Linked DNA regions of Mus musculus. The protein of the gene in region 2 purifies or fractionates together with the protein of the main gene of each other region. This does not show direct contact. Links are inferred from orthologs where the notes say so. Each region holds a gene or a part of one and is shown on either strand. Other genes may lie near its edges.

Region 1 (6,430 bases), on a different chromosome or scaffold from region 2:
CTGAAAATCATGTTAAGCAAAATAGAGACTTAAATCACAGTTATCAAACAGAGGACTTAGATGTGCATACATATATTTCATACATAATGTGACATATTAATAGATAAAAAATGTACATGTGTGCCATATCAAAGTAGAATGTGGTCTCTGTGGGAGAGGAGGACTGAATGGGCAAGGAAAACCCAGGAGAGATTACTGGGAACACAAGAGGAAAGCAGCTCTTTTTTCTTTCATATAAAAAAGAACCACACAGAAAGGGAATAAGTCAATGGTAGAAATCTTGCGTAACCTATAGTAAAGCCCTGGGATCAATTCCCAGTATTATATAAAAAAAGGGGGACCCAAAAACGTGATGAAATTTATGACAAATGAAAATACATCATCCAACCTCAGGAAACACGGTTAACTCCAAGGACCGCACATGAGAGATTACTGCTCATGTGAGCAAACTGTGACCAAGTAGCCAAAGAAATCATGACCTAAAATTCTGATTTTGGCTCTTTTAAAAGTAATCTAAATAATCAAAGAGCAAGACTGTCAAAAACTGAAGAAAACTGGAAAGCCAGATCACTGACAGAAGAGAAAAACCCACAGCTACACACACACACACACACACACACACACACACACACACAAACACAGCTAGAATAACTACATCCCAGGGCCCTGGGGAGAGGCCCAAGCCCTCCAACACTTATGCATCAACTCATTCAAAGTGAATGAGAACAGTTACAGTTACATGAAAAGGCAAAACTGTTGTAAGCAGCCTTTTGTGTCCTTGGGCTACCCAAAGATTTCATAGTTCTCAAAACACATGTAAAATAAGTTTGACATAGTGAGCTTTACAAAATGTAAAACTTCTTATAAAAGGCAAGCCACCAACTGGAAGAAAATACTTGTAGTACGTCGGGTCTGACAAAAGATTGGAACATCAAGATGACCCCCAAAACAAAAACAAAAAACTACCCAAATCTTTAAAACTAGGCAAAAGACTTGGACAATCACAACACAAAATTACAAATGGCTCATGAAAAGGTGATAAAGATTAGTTTTCTAGACATGCAAAATCAAGCTATAGAGCCTGTGAGATGGCTCAGCTGGGAAATTGAACATAGGTTCAATATCCACTGCTGGCAAAAACATAGATTAAAAGTAAAGATAAACCAGGCTTGGTGGCGCACGCCTTTAATCCCAGCACTCAGGAGGCAGAGGCAGGTGGATTTCTGAGTTCAAGGCCAGCCTGGTCTACAGAGTGAGTTCCAGGACAGCCAGGGCTACACAGAGAAACCCTTTCTCGGAAAAAAAAAAAACAAAAAAAACCAAAAAAAACCAAAGCAAAAACAAAAAACAAAACCCAAAAACAAAAAAGGTAAAGATAAAACTGAGCTCTGTAACCCAGGCTTTAAATTCTAGACCATGATAGACAGAGGAAAATGTATCTCAAATCCACTCTGATCAACAAAGTAAGTTCCATGATAGCCAGGGCCACATAGAAAGACTTTTGTCTCAAAAATTCAAAAACAAACAAACAAAAACAACAACAAAAACCTTTTAATTAAAAAAGAAAATTGATAAAGACACTTACTATATATACCTGATATCAAGTTCAAGTCACAGGACCCACTACGTAGGGAAGAACCCATGTCCATCCCACACGTACACCCACACACACATATATTAATAAATATAACCTTAATGCCAATAAACAGTACCAAATAAGTATGGAATAAATAAAATTCCCAGTGTTGTGTGTATAAAAATGGCCCAAGTGCTCAGAAAAGCAGTGGCTTATTACTTTTAAAATCTTACTTTCAACATCAGTCAGCAATATTATCTGTACACAGAACTCTCATAAAAACTTCATTTATAATAGCTCCCAACTGGAAACCTAGACATCGCAAGCAAGGAGTGTGGTATAACCATGTAATCTACACAGTATCGTGACTCTCAATATAGGTGGGTCCTCAGCTCATGCATCAACCTAAAGCCATCTCATCAACACTGCTAAGCAAAAAGAAGCCACAGAGGCGAATGAGCAGAGAATGTAGTTTTCTATGTGGAAGGGGACTAGTTACGATTGACCTAAGGTAACTTTGTGGGGGAGGAAACCATGTTTTTTGTTTGTTTGTCTTGTTTTTGTTTTTCGAGACAGGGTTTCTCTGGGTAGCCCTGGCTGTCCTGGAACCAGCCCAGGCTGGCCTCGAACTCAGAAATCCGCCTGCCTCTACCTCCTAATTGCTGGGATTAAAGGTGTGTGCCACCACGCCCGGCTGGAAACCATTTTTGATGATACACGTCTATAAAGTCTATATACTTTTCAAACTATATTTCACTTAACTGAAGCTTTGTGTTTATTATGCATAAATTTATTTAATTTTAATAAGAATAAAAAATCTCAAAAATAGAAAACAAGCAAATAGCATTTCATTATTGAGAGACATTTTTTGCCTTCACCAGTCAGGATGAAATCTAAGGTCTTCAGGGCTAATGGGTAAAATAGGTACTCACCTTGCAAATCCTTGCGGCAATTCTCCAAGACCATAAAGCGGATACAGGTACGGGCTTTTACCGTATCTTGCCAAAGACTCGCTGTAAAGTTTAATTCTATTAATGGTTTCACAACACGGCTGATCTAAGTAGCTGGGAAAAAAAAAAAGCAAATGAACATTAGAAAAACACTACTTCTTATTGATTTTAAACTCTTTTTCCTGCAGTAATCTCAAAGGACTATCCCCTAATTAAAACAGTCTTAGACTCATTTGCAAATAGACCCTCTTTCCCAGGGCCAGACAGCAACATACAAGTCCTAAGTTTCACACTTAACAGTCTCAGAGTTCAAAGTTTAAAGAAAAACACAGATCTGAAAACCAAACATTCCTGACTGGAATCCTCACCCTTTTTTCTGCTGTTGATACTCTCTAATAAATATCTGATCTAATACAGGAACTGTAAAGTTGCCTAAAGCCACATGCAGGAAGACACCTCCTAGCACTGCTAGACAATAGCTCACAGCCTCTGCACAGCTAGGTGATGAGAGCCATTAGCCTACTTACTCATCTGTTCTGTACAGTGCAAGAGAATGGCCAGTAAAGTCTATAACATCTTGGCCCAAATCAAACTTCTTATACACATCTCTCATGGAGGTCTTCTTAGGATCAACACCCTCGAAAGTTCTAGGATCTTTTTCATCAAAGTTGGCAACATAAACCAGGAACTTCCTGAAACGGCGTTTCTCAAACAGTCCCATTAAGCCTGAAAAATATTTTTTCCAAAAAGCACATGGAATAAGACACTGAGAAAGTAAGACTGTGGAGGCACTTTAAACACCAATGTCATGACTCAACATGACAAAACCTGGACTCTAGTTGCACAACTCTCTAAACAGATCATTCACAGCACTCAATTGCACAGCAGAACCTCAGTAAATGGTACATAGTTTCAGAGTTGAATTCTGTATCTTTTTTTTTTTTAAAGATTTATTTATTTATTTTATGCATGTGAGTACACTGTAGCTGTACAGATGGTTGTAAGCCTTCATGTGGTTGTTGGGAATTGAATTTTTAGGACCTCTCTCTACTTGCTCCGGTCAAGTCCACTCGCTCCAGTCAACTTTGCTTGCTCAAGTCCCTTCTCGCTTCAGCCCAAAGGTTTATTATTATACATAAGTACATTGTAGCTGTCTTCAGACAAACCAGAAGAGGGCGGAAGATCTCATCACGGGTGGTTGTGAGCCACCATGTGGTTGCTGGGATTTGAACTCAGGACCTTTGGAAGAGCAGTCAGTGCTCTTAACCGCTGAGCCATCTTACCAGCCTGAATTCTGTATCTTATCAGGCACAAAATAAGTAACACTGAAAAAAATTGCTCCAAAGGCATCTATACCAATGTTCTTCCTCTATGATGCTTATCTGTAACTCAGCCAGTTCCCAAAATTATGAATGTTGCTTTCTTTCTTCCGAATGCTACAACACACTTAGACCTCATGGGAAAAGACCAAGACACCAAGGAAGAATTAGCCACAACTTATTTAGTGACTGCACTGTATGTCACTTACTTTAATGAAATCTTAAACAATCAGTGCACTGCTCTACACAGCCTAGAGAGATGGCTCAGTGTGGGGAGCCGCCCTCACATTCGCCGTTGCAAGATGACGCTGACATCCTGTGTTCTAAGTGGTAAACAAATAATCTGCGCATGTGCCAAGGGTAGTTTTCCACTCCATGTGCTCTGCCTTCCCCATGACGACAACTCGGCCAATGGGCTGCAGCCAATCAGGGAGTGACAAGTCCTAGGCGGAGGATAATTCTCCTTAAAAGGGACGGGGTTTCGCCATTCTCTCGCTTGCTCCTGAAGAAGTAAGCAATAAAGCTTTTGCCGCAGAAGATTCCGGTTTGTTGCGTCTTTCCTGGCCGGTCGCGCGAACGTGTGTAAGAGCTCAGCAGTTAGGAGCACTTGCTGCTCTTGCAGAAGATCCAGGTTCAGTTAACAACACTCACATGGTCACTCACAACCATTTGTAACCCCAGGCTGATGAGATCTAATGCCTCCTTCTGGCCTCCATGGGCACTAGGCACACATGTGGTGCACACACATATATACAGGCAAATAATGAAACAAAACTTAAAAAAAAAAATCTTTAATTTCAGCACTTGAATGTAAAGGCAGGTGGATCTCTGTGAGTTTTCAGCCAACCTGGTCTAGCAGAGCTACATCCTAAAACCTTGTCTAAAAAATAATGTGTATGATGTACACAGAGAGGCTGAGAGAGACAGGGCAATATATGCAAACCCTAAGCTTTCTCTCTGAGTCAGTGTTCCTACTAACACACAGCTGGAAGAAAGATAAAGATAAGAAAACTCCTAGTTTTATATCCTTTCCCATCCTCTTCTAAACGGAACAGACATTAAAGTTAACTGGTACATAATTGGTAAGTATTTGTGACTAGATAAATGGATGTCTGTGATTCCTTTTCACCAGAAAAATCTCATCATTGTGTTAAATAAAATGAGAATTACTTACTAGATGCCAGGGCTTCTGCTTCAGTGGAAGGAACCTTGTAGATTTTCCCTCCCTTGTAGACAAAGCTTCCCTCAATCACTTTGAAGTCCATGTAACGAGTGACCTCTGTGAAAAGCAGCATCTTCACCAACTGACCTTGAAAAGCCACATAATGCAAACTGTCACTCAAACCTTACTACCTTTAAAAAGAAGCAAAGCTTGCCATTAAAGACTCCCAACTTTGTCCTAACACTGTATAGCAGGTCTTACCAGAAACTTGCAATGCCTCATTTTAGGTGGTGCCGCTAAAATACATACCTTACATACACGCTGAAGGTCAGTGCTACAACTTGTAGGCTAATGAATCTCATCGACTTGGCTGTGCAAAGACCATGAAATGTGAACTGGCAGTGAGAAGAGGTCTGCTTTACTACAAGTGAATTCAGGCAACTTTGCCCCTCTGTTCTACATCAGACACAGACAATTCCAAATATTTCAATTTTTTTTTTTTTAAAGTTTTTCGAGACAGGGTTTCTCTGTATAGCCCTGGCTGTCCTGGAACTCACTTTGTAGACCAGGCTGGCTTCGAACTCAGAAATCTGCCTGCCTCTGCCTCCCGAGTGCTGGGATTAAAGGCGTGCGCCACCACGCCGGCTCAAATATTTCAAAATCAACCTATATTTATTAGAAAATATTGACATCAGACAGATGAAGAACTACATTTAGGAGTATCACCTATCTGTTAGCTCCTATGCCAATCATCAAAAGCTTTTGAGACCAAAACCATTTTAATGCTTATCTGAAAGGATAATTACAACATCTTTTTTTAAGTTAGGGCTGGAGACATAACTCAATGGAAGAGTCTATCATTTATGAGACACTATATTCAAACTCCAAAACTTAAAAAAAAAAAAAATTTTAAGAAATAAAGAGTTTGAAGCTGGGCATGGTGGTGCAAGCCTTTAATCCCAGCACTCGGGAGGCAGAGGCAGGTAGATTTCTGAGTTCGAAGCCAGCCTGGTCTACAAAGTGCGTTCCAGGACAGCCAGGGCTACACAGAGAAATCCTGTCTCAAAAAAATCAAAAAGAAAAAAAGAGAAGAGTTTGAAGATATACTCATGCAGCAGAGTTTAAGTACGTGAACACTTGTCTGGCTCCAATATTAGGACTCATGATTACAAATTGAATATAGCTCACCATGGCCTGCCAGGCAACCCAAGTCAGAAGGCTGAGGAAGAAGGCCCATGCTCCATGCTGCCTAGGCTAGCAAAAACCATCTCAAAACCACTGCGACCAAGCATATGAACTCAACAGAATAAAAAGTCAAGTCAAAATGGTTAACAATATATGGTATGAGTGCCAAATGACAAGCCTCTTTGAAAAGGTAAACTTCCAAGGAAGATAAAAGTAGGTGAACTTCACACCATAGATT
Region 2 (6,430 bases):
ACCTTAGGGGAGCCGTGGCCAACTGAGAGAGTGCTTTTCATTATGCACGTTTCTCTATGGCAGTCATTTTTAAAATATATCAAGGGACAGTTTTCTATTATGTGAACATATTAGAGCCCCCAAGAGTCTTGAAATATTTATACTTGAAAAATGGGTTATTTCCCACTCTAAAACAGCAATTATCAGCACATACATGAAACCAAATAGTGAAGCATGCTGAAATAGTCTGGTAAGCCCTAATCTTGCTGCCAGTGGGGAAAGAGCACTAGAATTTTAGTCTGTAAATATGTTTATATTAAAAATAAATTCATGTAATGTTTTCTGCTAACAGAATAAGCTGACAGTTTGAACAACTTTTGCTGTGTAAAATTAAAGTGCTTGGCACCATTTCATCCTATATTGGTGTTGTATCATTTAGTTATGATAGAAAACAGTTTATGAACTCTTTCTCCCTTTATATTGACAAAAAACCAACAGCTACAAAAAAATAAAAGATATTGACCCAATTCCTGGTGACTTGAGGAGTTTCCAGTTACCTTTTTATATATAAGGATGAATAGACCCAACAAGCGCATCTATAATACAAAGTAAACTATGATTTTATTGTGAAATTCTCATAGATGGAAAATTAAATTGAATATTTATTCTGTCCATTTTTCAATTTACAATAATCTTACCACTTATTTTTGTACCATGTATTTCAATTGTCTGTTTAGTGAAAAATAAACCTGTAATTTCTGGCTTATTTTTAGTTTAATATTTTATCATTAAAGACCCCATGATAAAATGTGTTATCAACAGCCATACCCTACCCTAGCCCCCAATTGAAGAATGCTTGGCTGCTCCTTAAACCAAAGGAAACAATCTCTGACCTTTGTCACCTTAAAATGCTAGTGTCTGCAAGAGACTTTGTTTCCCACAGTAAGACAAAAGCAAAGTCTAGGATTTCGAAGATCCTAGTTAACAAACTTTCACACATGCAAAATTTCACCGAAATAAATATATTATTTCTCCCATCATTCCCATCTAGCGTTCATGTTTTCATTTAATTTGGGGGGGGGGGGAGATAGAATTTCTACAATTAGGGCAATCACATTTCCTGCTTTCTATTCTAATGCTTAAACTCTCCACCAACATGATTCATACAATTGGAAAGAATAAAGTTGACACCTGGAAGTGGAGGCAGGAGGATCAGGAGTTCAAGGGCATCCTTGGTTACAAGTGAATTTGAGGCCTCTTGAGCTATATGAGACATTGTCTCAAAAAATAGGTGCAGTCTGGGACATCATTTAATCCCAGCACTTTTGAGGAAAAGGCAGGTGAATGGGGGAGGGGGAGGCAGCCTGTTGTACATACTTAAGTTCCAGGCTAGCCAGGGCTACATAGTAAGACCCTGTCTCAAAAAAGAAAGGGGAAAAAAGCCAGGCGTGGCGGCGCACACCTTCAGTCTCAGCACTCAGAGACAGAGCTAGGTGGATCCCTGAGTTCGAGGCCAGCCTGGTCTACAGAGAGAGTTCCAGGACAGCCAGGGATACACAGAGAAACCCTATCTCCAATAGCCAAAAAGAAAAAAGAAAGAAAAAGGTGTGTGCGCCATCAGACTGAGCATGAAGAAACACCAGCACTATTACCAGATCACTGCCTGGGAGGAAGCATGGGCTGCTCTCCATCTCTACCACAGATGAGGGAAAAAAGGGTTGCTGGTGAAGCCACTTCAGGTGGCCTGGGCTGGAGATGAAGCACTAGAGTTTGAGTTCCTTGAACCAATGAAGGTGGTGAAGTCTCTACACAGCACAAAAGCTTCTCTAGGTCACTCATCAGACCTATTACTAGAAAGCAAACCCTGGATGCTGTGCTATTAAGATAGGTCTACAGTGCCCTTGCTGCACACACGTGGCTGCTGAGTAGAATGCAAAGCTCTATTTCCCTTTAATCATAGGAATTAAAACAATACTTATCACCATACAGTTTGATATTACTTCCAATAAGTACAATATTTATTAAACATATCTTCAGTTTTGTTACATAGTGTGCAACAAATTACAATATTCTGCAGCCACAAATTATATGCAGAGTATGAAGAAACTATTAATCAGATAGTGTAATCTTTCCATTTATAACTCTACCAGGAAGAACTAGCAAATCAGATCTTACATATAACGTCTCACTAAACTTTATGCGTGGAAACTGACAGACACTGGTTGTGCTGTGTGATACAAAATGGCTGAACTTCATCTTCAGAAGACTAAACCCAACATCTAAACATGCCAATATAAACATCAAAACAAAATATATTCTAACCAACCACGGGAAACGATCTGGTATCAGGAAAGCAACAAGGATTACACACATTATTTTATAAACCAGCACACAAAGGTTTAAAACAGTTCTGAAAATGAAGTTAGCGGTCTTGAGTCAAGGGAATAAAAAAAAAAGTCAGTATTGACCATTTACAATCTCTGACCTTGTGGAAACGGTAAGAATCTGTTGTAGTGCAGCTACATACAGTACAATTCAGGCAATTTTGTTTTTTCACTTGGGTTCAGATTGCGAATTCATTGCTGTGAGAAAAGGACGGAGGCAGATTTTAGCAGCAGCCTCCACCTGACTGCTTGACTGGAGTGCTCTGGATTTTAACATTGGACTTCTCGGCACCACCAGCTGTAGCTCCAGGACCCATTCGCTTTTTAATCTCAGCTGCCATCGTCATGAAAGACTGTTCTACATTCGTTGCGTTCTTAGCACTGGTTTCCAAAAATGGAATTCCAAGGGAATCTGCAAATTCCTGAGAGAATAATAAGGCACAGTGAACAATGGAAAATCCTTCTGACTTAGTCTTCTGAAATGGGAATGGGGGACTAAGCTCACTGGCTTTTACAGGGTGAGGCAGTCCCCATAATTAAATTCAGTGTCAAAGTCAAACCTCATACATACCTTTGCTGTTGTGTAGTCTACTACTTTCTTTGTGGTCAGGTCACATTTGTTCCCTACCAACAACTTGTTGACATTTTCACTGGCGTAGCGATCTATCTCCTGCAGCCACTGTTTAACGTTATTGAAGGACTCCTAGGGAGAGAAGAATGGTGATGCAGTTGCTCGAGGCCACTGCTGCTCTAACTAAGGAAAGAAATCAACTAACTTGAGGTATACACCCCGTCAATGACCCCGTCAATGATAAGAAAGACTCAAAGGCCTGAAGTGAAAAGAGCTTATTTGGAAGGGGAAACAGTTGAAGTTTAATGACAGGCAAGCCCAATTTTAAATTGAAATTTTAAAATATTGTCAAGACCTAGTTTCTGAAACAGTAAAATCCTGTTAAATAAATAAAAGCTGGGTGCAGTGGCACAGCTTTAATTCCAGTACTTGGGAGACAGATACAGACTGAGCTCTTGAGCTCCAGGCCAGCCAGAACTACACTGTGAGATCCTGACTCAAAAACAAACAAACAAAAAACTGGTTATGAAAAACAACAGTATCGCTACTATTATTTGGCCTAGGTGCACCTCAGTGCTGACAATTTGCTGGGCATACAGAAAGCCCTGATCTTAAACCCCACTACAAACAAGATGTGGGATGCGGAAGAGAAATCTTATAAAAAAACAGGTGACAATTTTCCTTGTTTTTTTCACATAAAAATATGCTGGGCATGGTAGTGAATGCCTTTAGTTCCAGTGCTTAGGGGACAGAGGCAGGCAGATCTTTGAGCCCAAGGTCAGGTTTGTCTATAAACAGCCAAGATCACAGGGAAACTTGTCTTGAAGAACAAACAAATTATGGTAATAGATTACATATTTAAAATTAACCAGTTATGCCTGCTTTGGGTGTTTGCTTTACTGAGATGAGGTTTTGCTCTGCTGCCTAGACAGGTCTCAATCTCCTGAGCTCCTGTTTCAGCCTCCCAAGTAGCTGAAGGTACATGACATCATGCTAATGTAGCATTTTCTTTCCCTATTCATATTCGCTTATCTTTTGCTTGTATGGTAAATCTCTTAATTTATCTCCAAATTAACAATATAATTCAGATAGTTCAGATTTAACATTTGCTATAAGAAAATGAGTTGTTTTTATTTCTCGATTAGTAAAAATAAATTTCTAGTCAAAAGTTTCAGGGCTGTTCAAAAGCATTCAAGGGCAGCCTGACCACATAGTGAGTTCAGGTCAGCCAGAACTACACAGTGAGATTGTGTCAAAATCCACACACATACACTACTTTCTACTTTGTTGGTAACATGTAACATTCTCTAGAAACTTACCTGATCTGTCACATCATACACAACTATGATGCCATGGGCTCCTCTGTAATAACTGGAAGTGATTGTTCGAAATCTTTCCTGGCCTGCTGTGTCCCACTATAGAAAACAATCAGAGAAGGCAAACAATTCCATTAAAACATACTTGGGAGAAAGTACAGGAGAAAATTGTAGATTATTAGGATTTGAGATGCCAGCAGTATTTAATGCTTACATTATTAAATTGCAGTATTTAATGCTTACATTATTAAATTGCATTGCAGGTATCAAATATGTTAAAAATCCAGAAGAGAAGATAATGCCTACGGTTTAGCAGGTAGTACTAATACCAAAATTCTAAATTCTTTGAGAACATAAGCTATGCTAGGCTATTCTAGGCTGTTGGTAAAAAATATAGAGTCCAGAGCCCAGAGCTTACTTCATGGCTGCAGTATTTGTCACAGACCAGGCTCGGCCATGCCCTAGGGTAACAAGGAGGTGCTATCTCAGGCTCAGCAAAAATAACGTAAGGAAAATGTTTCTAAACACCTTTAAAATAAAACTCATTTTTCTAAGCGGAGAAGGGGCATGGAGAGATGGCTTAATGGTTAAGAGGATATATTGGTCTTCTAGAGAACCTGAGTTCAATTCCCAGGACCCATACTAAGTGGTTTACCAATGCTTGTAACTCTAGTTTCAAAGGCACCCAGTGCCTCTGGTTTCTTTGGGCACATGCATTCATATACACTTCACTTAATAAAAATATTTTTTAATGGGGAAAAGCAAGCAAGATAGGCCAGCAAAAGCTATGCAAACCTGACAACCAGAAGTCAATCCCTAGAACCCATGATAGAAGGAAGAAACTATAAAAAGTTGTCCTCTGGCCAAATATGGTGTTTAGTGCCTATAGTCCCTGCACTGAGGAGGCAAAAGCAGGGGTGGAACTCTGTGGGTTCAAGACTGTCCTTATCTATACAGCAAGTTCCAGGACAACTAGGGCTATATAGTGAGAGACCCTCTTTCAAACATAAAAATCAGTGAAGACCTGGCCATCATGACTAAACAATAAAACATGAAAGGAAGGGCTGGTGAGATGGCTCAGTGGGTAAGAGCACCCGACTGCTCTTCCGAAGGTCTGAAGTTCAAATCCCAGCAACCACATGGTGGCTCACAACCATCTGTAACAAGATCTGATCTGACGCCCTCTTCTGGAGTGTCTGAAGACAGCTACAGTGTACTTACATGTAATAAATAAATAAATCTTTAAAAAAAAAAAAAAAAAAAAAAAAAAAAAAACATGAAAGGAAAAGACTTAAGAGTACTTGGGAGAAAAAAAAACACAGCCCATCAAGTTGAAATGCAATGGGCTAGACACACAATTTTGCATTTAAATTTTTATAACACCAATTCATGGAATATTCTCATTCTCTCTCTCTCTCTCTCTCTCTCTCTCTCTCTCTCTCTCTCTCTCTCTCTCACACACACACACACACAGAGAGAGAGAGACAGACACATTTTCTTTTTGTGTGTATGTACAGTATGTGTATATAGAGACCTAAGGCTAAAGTCTTCCTGGATTACACTCCACCTTACTGAGGCAAGATCTCTCGGTGAATACAGAGCTCCTGTAACCCAGTGCCTCTGCCTTCCATGGATTGCAGGTGGGTCCCCACAGCTACACAGCATTTTCATGGGTGAATTCTGGTCCTCACATTTACAAGTACTTTATCTACCCGACCATATCTGCAGCCATTTATACCCTTTATACACACAACCCCCAAATTAAAGACAAGCAACCCTAAATCTTCAAGTGCAGACGACTCGGGATGTAGTTAATGCAAACTCACCCATTCCTTTATAGTCTTTGGTAGATTAACAATAAGCATTGAATCCCTGAAGTCCAAGAGAGAAATTTTATTTTATTTTTATGTGTATGAGTGCTTTGCCTGCATGTATGTCTGTGCACTAAGTACATGCCTGTTAGCCACAAAAGCATATAGAAGGCATGGGATTTATTGGGGTTGAAATTATGGTGTGTACAGCATGAGTGCTGGGAAATTAAACCCCCCCCCAGTGCACAGAGCCACCTCTTCACACCCAAAGGGAGAAAATTTTTAAGAAATTCAGAAAAGTTTGTCTCACATACGTATTGTACTATATTTTAGGAATCCCTTTTTATAAAAGGTACTTGAAAATGCAAG
Region 3 (5,108 bases), on a different chromosome or scaffold from region 2:
AGGATCCAGGTTCAGTTCCAATGTGAACATACATGGTAGTTCACAACCACCCATAACTCCAGTTTTAGGGAATCCAAAACCTTCATCTGGCCTCCACAAGCATCAGGCATACATGTGGTGTACAGACATACATGTAAATAAAACACACATATGAATAAATAAATATAAAAATTTATTTAAAAAATAGATGAAATACAAAGTAAAGGACTAGGTCACCATGAACATAGCTTCCCTTAGCTCTTGGTAGTACCAGGTCTAAGTCTAGGACCCCAGAACCTTGAGTCTGGGCTTCCCTGGGAGCTGGCTCTTTTACTGACAGTTCTTTATTCTTGACTCCTGGGCCATTTCTGTGTGGAGCTACTCCTTCATGCTGCCTTCCATTGACCCATTTGCAGAACAGAGTATTATGGATGGAAACAGCAGAGAAGAAGGAATATGCCAAAAATGGGCCCAAATTTATGGGGGAGACACCTGAAACAGTTGGAATTGAACTCTGTCTACCTGTGTAGTTTCTTTACCCCACTGGTGGGGTGGGGAGAGTAGAGTAGGATCGGTCACCATTCTCCTGAGAAGACTCCCTTGTCATTTTCCTTACTATAGATTGAGTGCCATCTATGGGGGAACATACATGCTGAACAAACCAGTGGATGACATCATCATGGAAAATGGCAAGGTGGTGGGTGTCAAATCTGAGGGAGAGGTAAGCCTGCCATATACATTTGTATTACCGTGGTTTGGTCTTTTTCAGGGCTATGTTCTTAGGGAGCCTTATTACTGGTGAGTTTGCTGCTGCTTAACCCTGAGAAGCTTACAGCTAGGGACTGGGTGGTCAGGGAAACTCTACATAGTTATTCCTGTTGGCAAGAAATACCCTTCAAAATGCCAGGTGTAATGGCACACAGCTGTTTTCCAGTACTTGGGAGCCAAGGCAGATGAATATAAATCAATCAAGAAGTATCCTTCAGAAGTCACATATTTTGTATTCCTGAAAGTATTCTTTTGGAAAGGGTGCCCTGTACCCCGGGCTGGCGTCAGATGTTGAATGTAGCTGAGGATGAACTTTTAATCCTTGTGCTTCCACCTTCTTGATGCTGGATTACAGGTGTGTGTCAAGAGACCTGCTTTATGCATTGCGGGAATCTAACCTGGGGCTTTATGCATAACAGGCAAGCACTCTACCAACTGAGATAACATGCCTCCCCCCAACCATCCTTCAGCCTGCTGTGGTGGGGCATGAGAATTGAGGCTGCTAGTGAAGAAGATCCTGAGGTTGAGATTAGTTTGGGTCAAACAGTCTCAAATAAAAACTCCAGCAGCAGAAAAAAAAAAGCCCATTTTTGTGATCATTGTGTTTTAGCAGTAGGGTCACCTAGCCCTGTATATGAGGGCTGATCTCTCTGAGCTTCAAAGAAAGGGACAGTGATGACAGCTCAGAGCTGCCTGGCTTGCCTTTCCAACAGGTACAAACCCTTCTGGTACCTTCACAGGTGGCCCGCTGCAAGCAGCTGATCTGTGATCCCAGTTACATCCCAGACCGTGTGCAAAAGGCTGGCCAGGTTATTCGCATCATCTGTATCCTCAGCCACCCCATCAAGAATACCAATGATGCCAATTCCTGCCAAATTATCATCCCTCAGAACCAGGTCAACAGGAAGTCAGGTAGGCCAGGCTGTTATGCATCTCTTCTCACAAGAAATCTTAGGGCTTCTTGTGACATTTTGTTACAGAATCCCTGCGGCTTGGATGGCTTGAGCTCTTACCTTGTTCATGAAAATGACAGTTTGAATGCTGTTTACATGTTGGGTTGGGAGCAGGAGCATGTGGGCCAGATTCCTGTCTAGCCTCTAGGAACTACTTTTTGTGTGTGGCCATTTTCCTCTGGTACATGTTAACCAATTGGCTTCCCATGGTCAGACATCTATGTGTGCATGATCTCCTATGCGCACAACGTGGCCGCACAGGGCAAATACATCGCCATTGCCAGCACCACTGTAGAGACTGCAGAACCAGAAAAGGAAGTTGAGCCTGCATTGGAGCTGTTGGAACCCATTGACCAGAAGTGAGAGGCTGAACCAAACTTTATGGGGAGGTTGGGGATTAGGAATGGGCAAGGCCCATTATGAGACTTTTCTCTTCTTTCTTTTCTTTTATTTGCCCCTTAGGTTTGTGGCTATCAGTGATTTATATGAGCCCATTGATGATGGTTCAGAGAGTCAGGTAAAAATGCTGTCCCAGTCAGCCTTGGTTCTTGCAGTCTATCCAAGATCCTCTGCCTGACTTCCGTGAGCCCTGGGGTTCTGTCTATTTACAGGTGTTCTGTTCCTGCTCCTATGATGCTACCACACACTTTGAGACAACCTGCAATGACATCAAAGATATCTACAAACGCATGGCTGGTTCTGCCTTTGATTTTGAGAACATGAAGCGCAAACAGAATGATGTCTTTGGAGAAGCTGATCAGTGATTGCTGACTCCCCTCCTCCAGCCCCTGTTCCCCTCTCCCCAACTTGTATGTCCTTCTCTAGGGCAGGGGAGATGGTATGGCTAGGCATCCTTGTTTCCAGCATCTTCTGCTTCCCCTACCACATTCCAATCACCCACCTTATTGATTTTATTCACTGACCATATCCTTAACCTTAGGGATGGTTTGGGAGATGGGAGTTGGATAGTATCCTCTTTCTTGGTCTGTCCTTGTTCTAGGGAAAGAGAACTTTGTGTGTGTGTGTGTGTGTGTGTGTGTGTGTGTGCGCGCGCGCGTGCGTGTGTGTACGTGTGTGTACGTACGTGTGTGTGCGTGTGTACATGTGTGTGCATGTGTGTGTGCATCGTGCACCCCCAATTTTGCTGTTTGGGAAGGAGTGGAGGAAAAGCTGACCCCCACCCCCACTGCTCTTAGTCCCAAATGTAGTGGCCTTTGGAGATACCCATCTCCTCCCCCAACTCTTAGGTGTTGGAGAGAAGGGACCCTCCCAGCACAAAATTGCATTCCTCCTCCTCCTCCTCCTCCTTATAATTTATTCTAATTTATTAACTTTGGAGTAATTGTCTGAGCCCTCAGCCTTTCTGTGCAGCCTAGGGCTGTAGAGTGAGCTGCCCTGGCCTCTCCCAGTGCTGGCAAAGCCTGGGATGGGAGAAGATTTAGGTGTGACCCCCTCTGGAGGTTGATCTGTTTTGAATTTCTTTTGTGTTGTGTTCACTGAGAAAAAGTAATGTGAGCAAAGCAGAAGGAGGTAGGAAAGTGGATCCAAACCCCAGTGTACCCTGCCCCATGCCTTTTCCTTTAGTGGTGGGAAACCCTTACCTTGCAAAGTGAATGTGTCCCCTTCCCCAAGCTCTAGTATATTTCACAGAAAACAAAAACCTCCCAATAAAACTATTGAAACTTAAGCCTGGCTCTTTAGGTTCTCTGCTTTAAGGCTGTTTTGCAGGACTGGGGCAATTTAGCTTCTGGACTAGAACTGTATCCGCAAGGATCAAGGCAGGTGAAGTAGGTCATCTGGTGTTGGACGGGTCATCATTTACTAGTGGTTTCCAAATCAGAAGTCAGTGTGGAGGTTTTGGGTTCAAGGCTATACTGACCTCTCCGAAGCAGAATAGCACAGGTGAGATGGTTCAATGCATAAAGATATTTTCTATGTGACCCTGAGTTTGATCTTTGGAGCCCATGTAAAGGTGGAAGGAGAAAACTGATTCCACAATATGACCTCTGCACATGTTCAGTGGCTTGTGCACAACATGTAAACAAACACATTTAAATTTTTATGTGTATGGCTATTTTGCCTAGGTGGGTGTGCACAACTTGCATATCTGCTGCCTGCAGAAGCCAGTATCTCCAGGAATTGGAGTTACAGTCAGTTGTGAGCTATTTGAATGCTGGGGATCGATTCTGGGTACTCACCATTGCCTGAGCCATCTCCTCTGCCTCACACAAATTTTTAAAGGAGAGGTATCAGGAGTCTCAGTCCTGGGGGAGCAAAGGGACCTGGACCTAGCCTTGGATGATAGCTAAAAAAATTCAGCTGGGCAGGGGTGGCACACACCTTTAATGCCAGCACTTGGGAGGCAGAGAACAGGCCAATTTCTGAGTTTGAGGCCAGCCTGGTCTACAGAGTGAGTTCCAGGACAGTCAGCTACACAGAGAAACCCTGTCTCGGAAAAAACAACAACAAAAAAATCCAAGCAACCAAATGTGTCAGTGTGTGACCAAGCAGGAGGAAAAACAGCCTCCGTGGGAAGGGGTACACCTGACTGAGACATGGCTCTCAGTTCCATCATCCAAGTTGGGAGCAGCGCGCTCAGCCTTGGGACTAACAGAAAGAAGTTAGGAGGAATGGAGGGCCAGCTTAAGATAGCATTTAACTTTGAGGGTGTACAGGAAGCTAGAGGACCCAGCTCCATGTCACAAGGAACCAGCAGAAAGAACTGGTGATTTCGCATTGGGTATGGGATGAACTCGTCCGGCCTCCTGTGAGGCGGGGCGAGGTGCGATCACGTGTCAGAGCCGCGGGCGTAGGGCAGGGCCTGCGTCCGCACGTTCCCTGGTGGCTGACGTCACGCATCAGCTGACTAAATTGCCGCCGCCACTGCCGTCGCCGTCGCCTCCACGACTTCTCCAAGCAAAAGTCACTGTTGCCGCTGTCGTCGCTGCCAACGCCGCCGCTGCCGCTGCCGCTGCCGCTGCCGCTGCCGCTGCCTCCGCTGAAACCGCCACTGCCTTCGCTGAAACCGCTGCTGCCACCATGGCCCAGTACAAGGGCGCTGCAAGCGAGGCGGGACGCGCCATGCACCTAATGAAGAAGAGGGAGAAGCAGCGTGAGCAAATGGAGCAGATGAAGCAGAGGATTGCAGAGGTGTGGGCCAGGCCGGGGCACCTCAGAGCTTGCGCTCCGCGCGGACCCCCTGGCGGTCTCCTGCCACTCGTCTCTGGGAGACCTCAACAGTGGGCTATGAGTGCCCGGAGGGCGGGCCCCGCGTTGGTGGCGAGACTTGCTGTGCATCTCTAGTAACAGAAGTCAGCCGAGACAGTCTAATCTATAAAATGGGCTCAGTGTTGGTCCATGTCAGAGATGGGGAGCACACTGATGTTGGGTGAGACTCCTTGGCACTCC

The links.
Region 1: the proteins of Rab1a (region 2) and Gdi2 purify together in Homo sapiens (affinity purification with mass spectrometry; 6 studies listed by BioGRID and IntAct, counting the BioPlex papers as one, with this or other methods). This does not show direct contact. The link is inferred for Mus musculus from reciprocal best matches to the Homo sapiens genes RAB1A and GDI2.
Region 3: the proteins of Rab1a (region 2) and Gdi1 purify together in Homo sapiens (affinity purification with mass spectrometry; 7 studies listed by BioGRID and IntAct, counting the BioPlex papers as one, with this or other methods). This does not show direct contact. The link is inferred for Mus musculus from reciprocal best matches to the Homo sapiens genes RAB1A and GDI1.

Annotation. Positions count from the first base shown.
Region 1 is NC_000079.6:3,553,136-3,559,565, reverse strand, and holds part of Gdi2 (rab GDP dissociation inhibitor beta), read right to left. Parts: intron 5,155-6,430; coding exon 5,020-5,154; intron 3,253-5,019; coding exon 3,054-3,252; intron 2,641-3,053; coding exon 2,509-2,640; intron 1-2,508. UniProt on the Homo sapiens protein: GDP-dissociation inhibitor preventing the GDP to GTP exchange of most Rab proteins. By keeping these small GTPases in their inactive GDP-bound form regulates intracellular membrane trafficking.
Region 2 is NC_000077.6:20,221,003-20,227,432, reverse strand, and holds the end of Rab1a (ras-related protein Rab-1A), read right to left. Parts: exon of another isoform or gene 5,725-6,430; intron 4,567-5,724; exon of another isoform or gene 4,350-4,566; coding exon 4,254-4,349; intron 3,067-4,253; coding exon 2,935-3,066; intron 2,786-2,934; coding exon 2,588-2,785; 3' UTR 577-2,587; downstream 1-576. UniProt on the Homo sapiens protein: The small GTPases Rab are key regulators of intracellular membrane trafficking, from the formation of transport vesicles to their fusion with membranes.
Region 3 is NC_000086.7:74,308,476-74,313,583, forward strand, and holds the end of Gdi1 (rab GDP dissociation inhibitor alpha), read left to right. Parts: intron 1-600; coding exon 601-700; intron 701-1,487; coding exon 1,488-1,659; intron 1,660-1,914; coding exon 1,915-2,059; intron 2,060-2,162; coding exon 2,163-2,217; intron 2,218-2,311; coding exon 2,312-2,464; 3' UTR 2,465-3,392; downstream 3,393-5,108. Other genes in the region: protein FAM50A, read left to right, coding at 4,740-4,850. UniProt on the Homo sapiens protein: Regulates the GDP/GTP exchange reaction of most Rab proteins by inhibiting the dissociation of GDP from them, and the subsequent binding of GTP to them. Promotes the dissociation of GDP-bound Rab proteins from the membrane and inhibits their activation.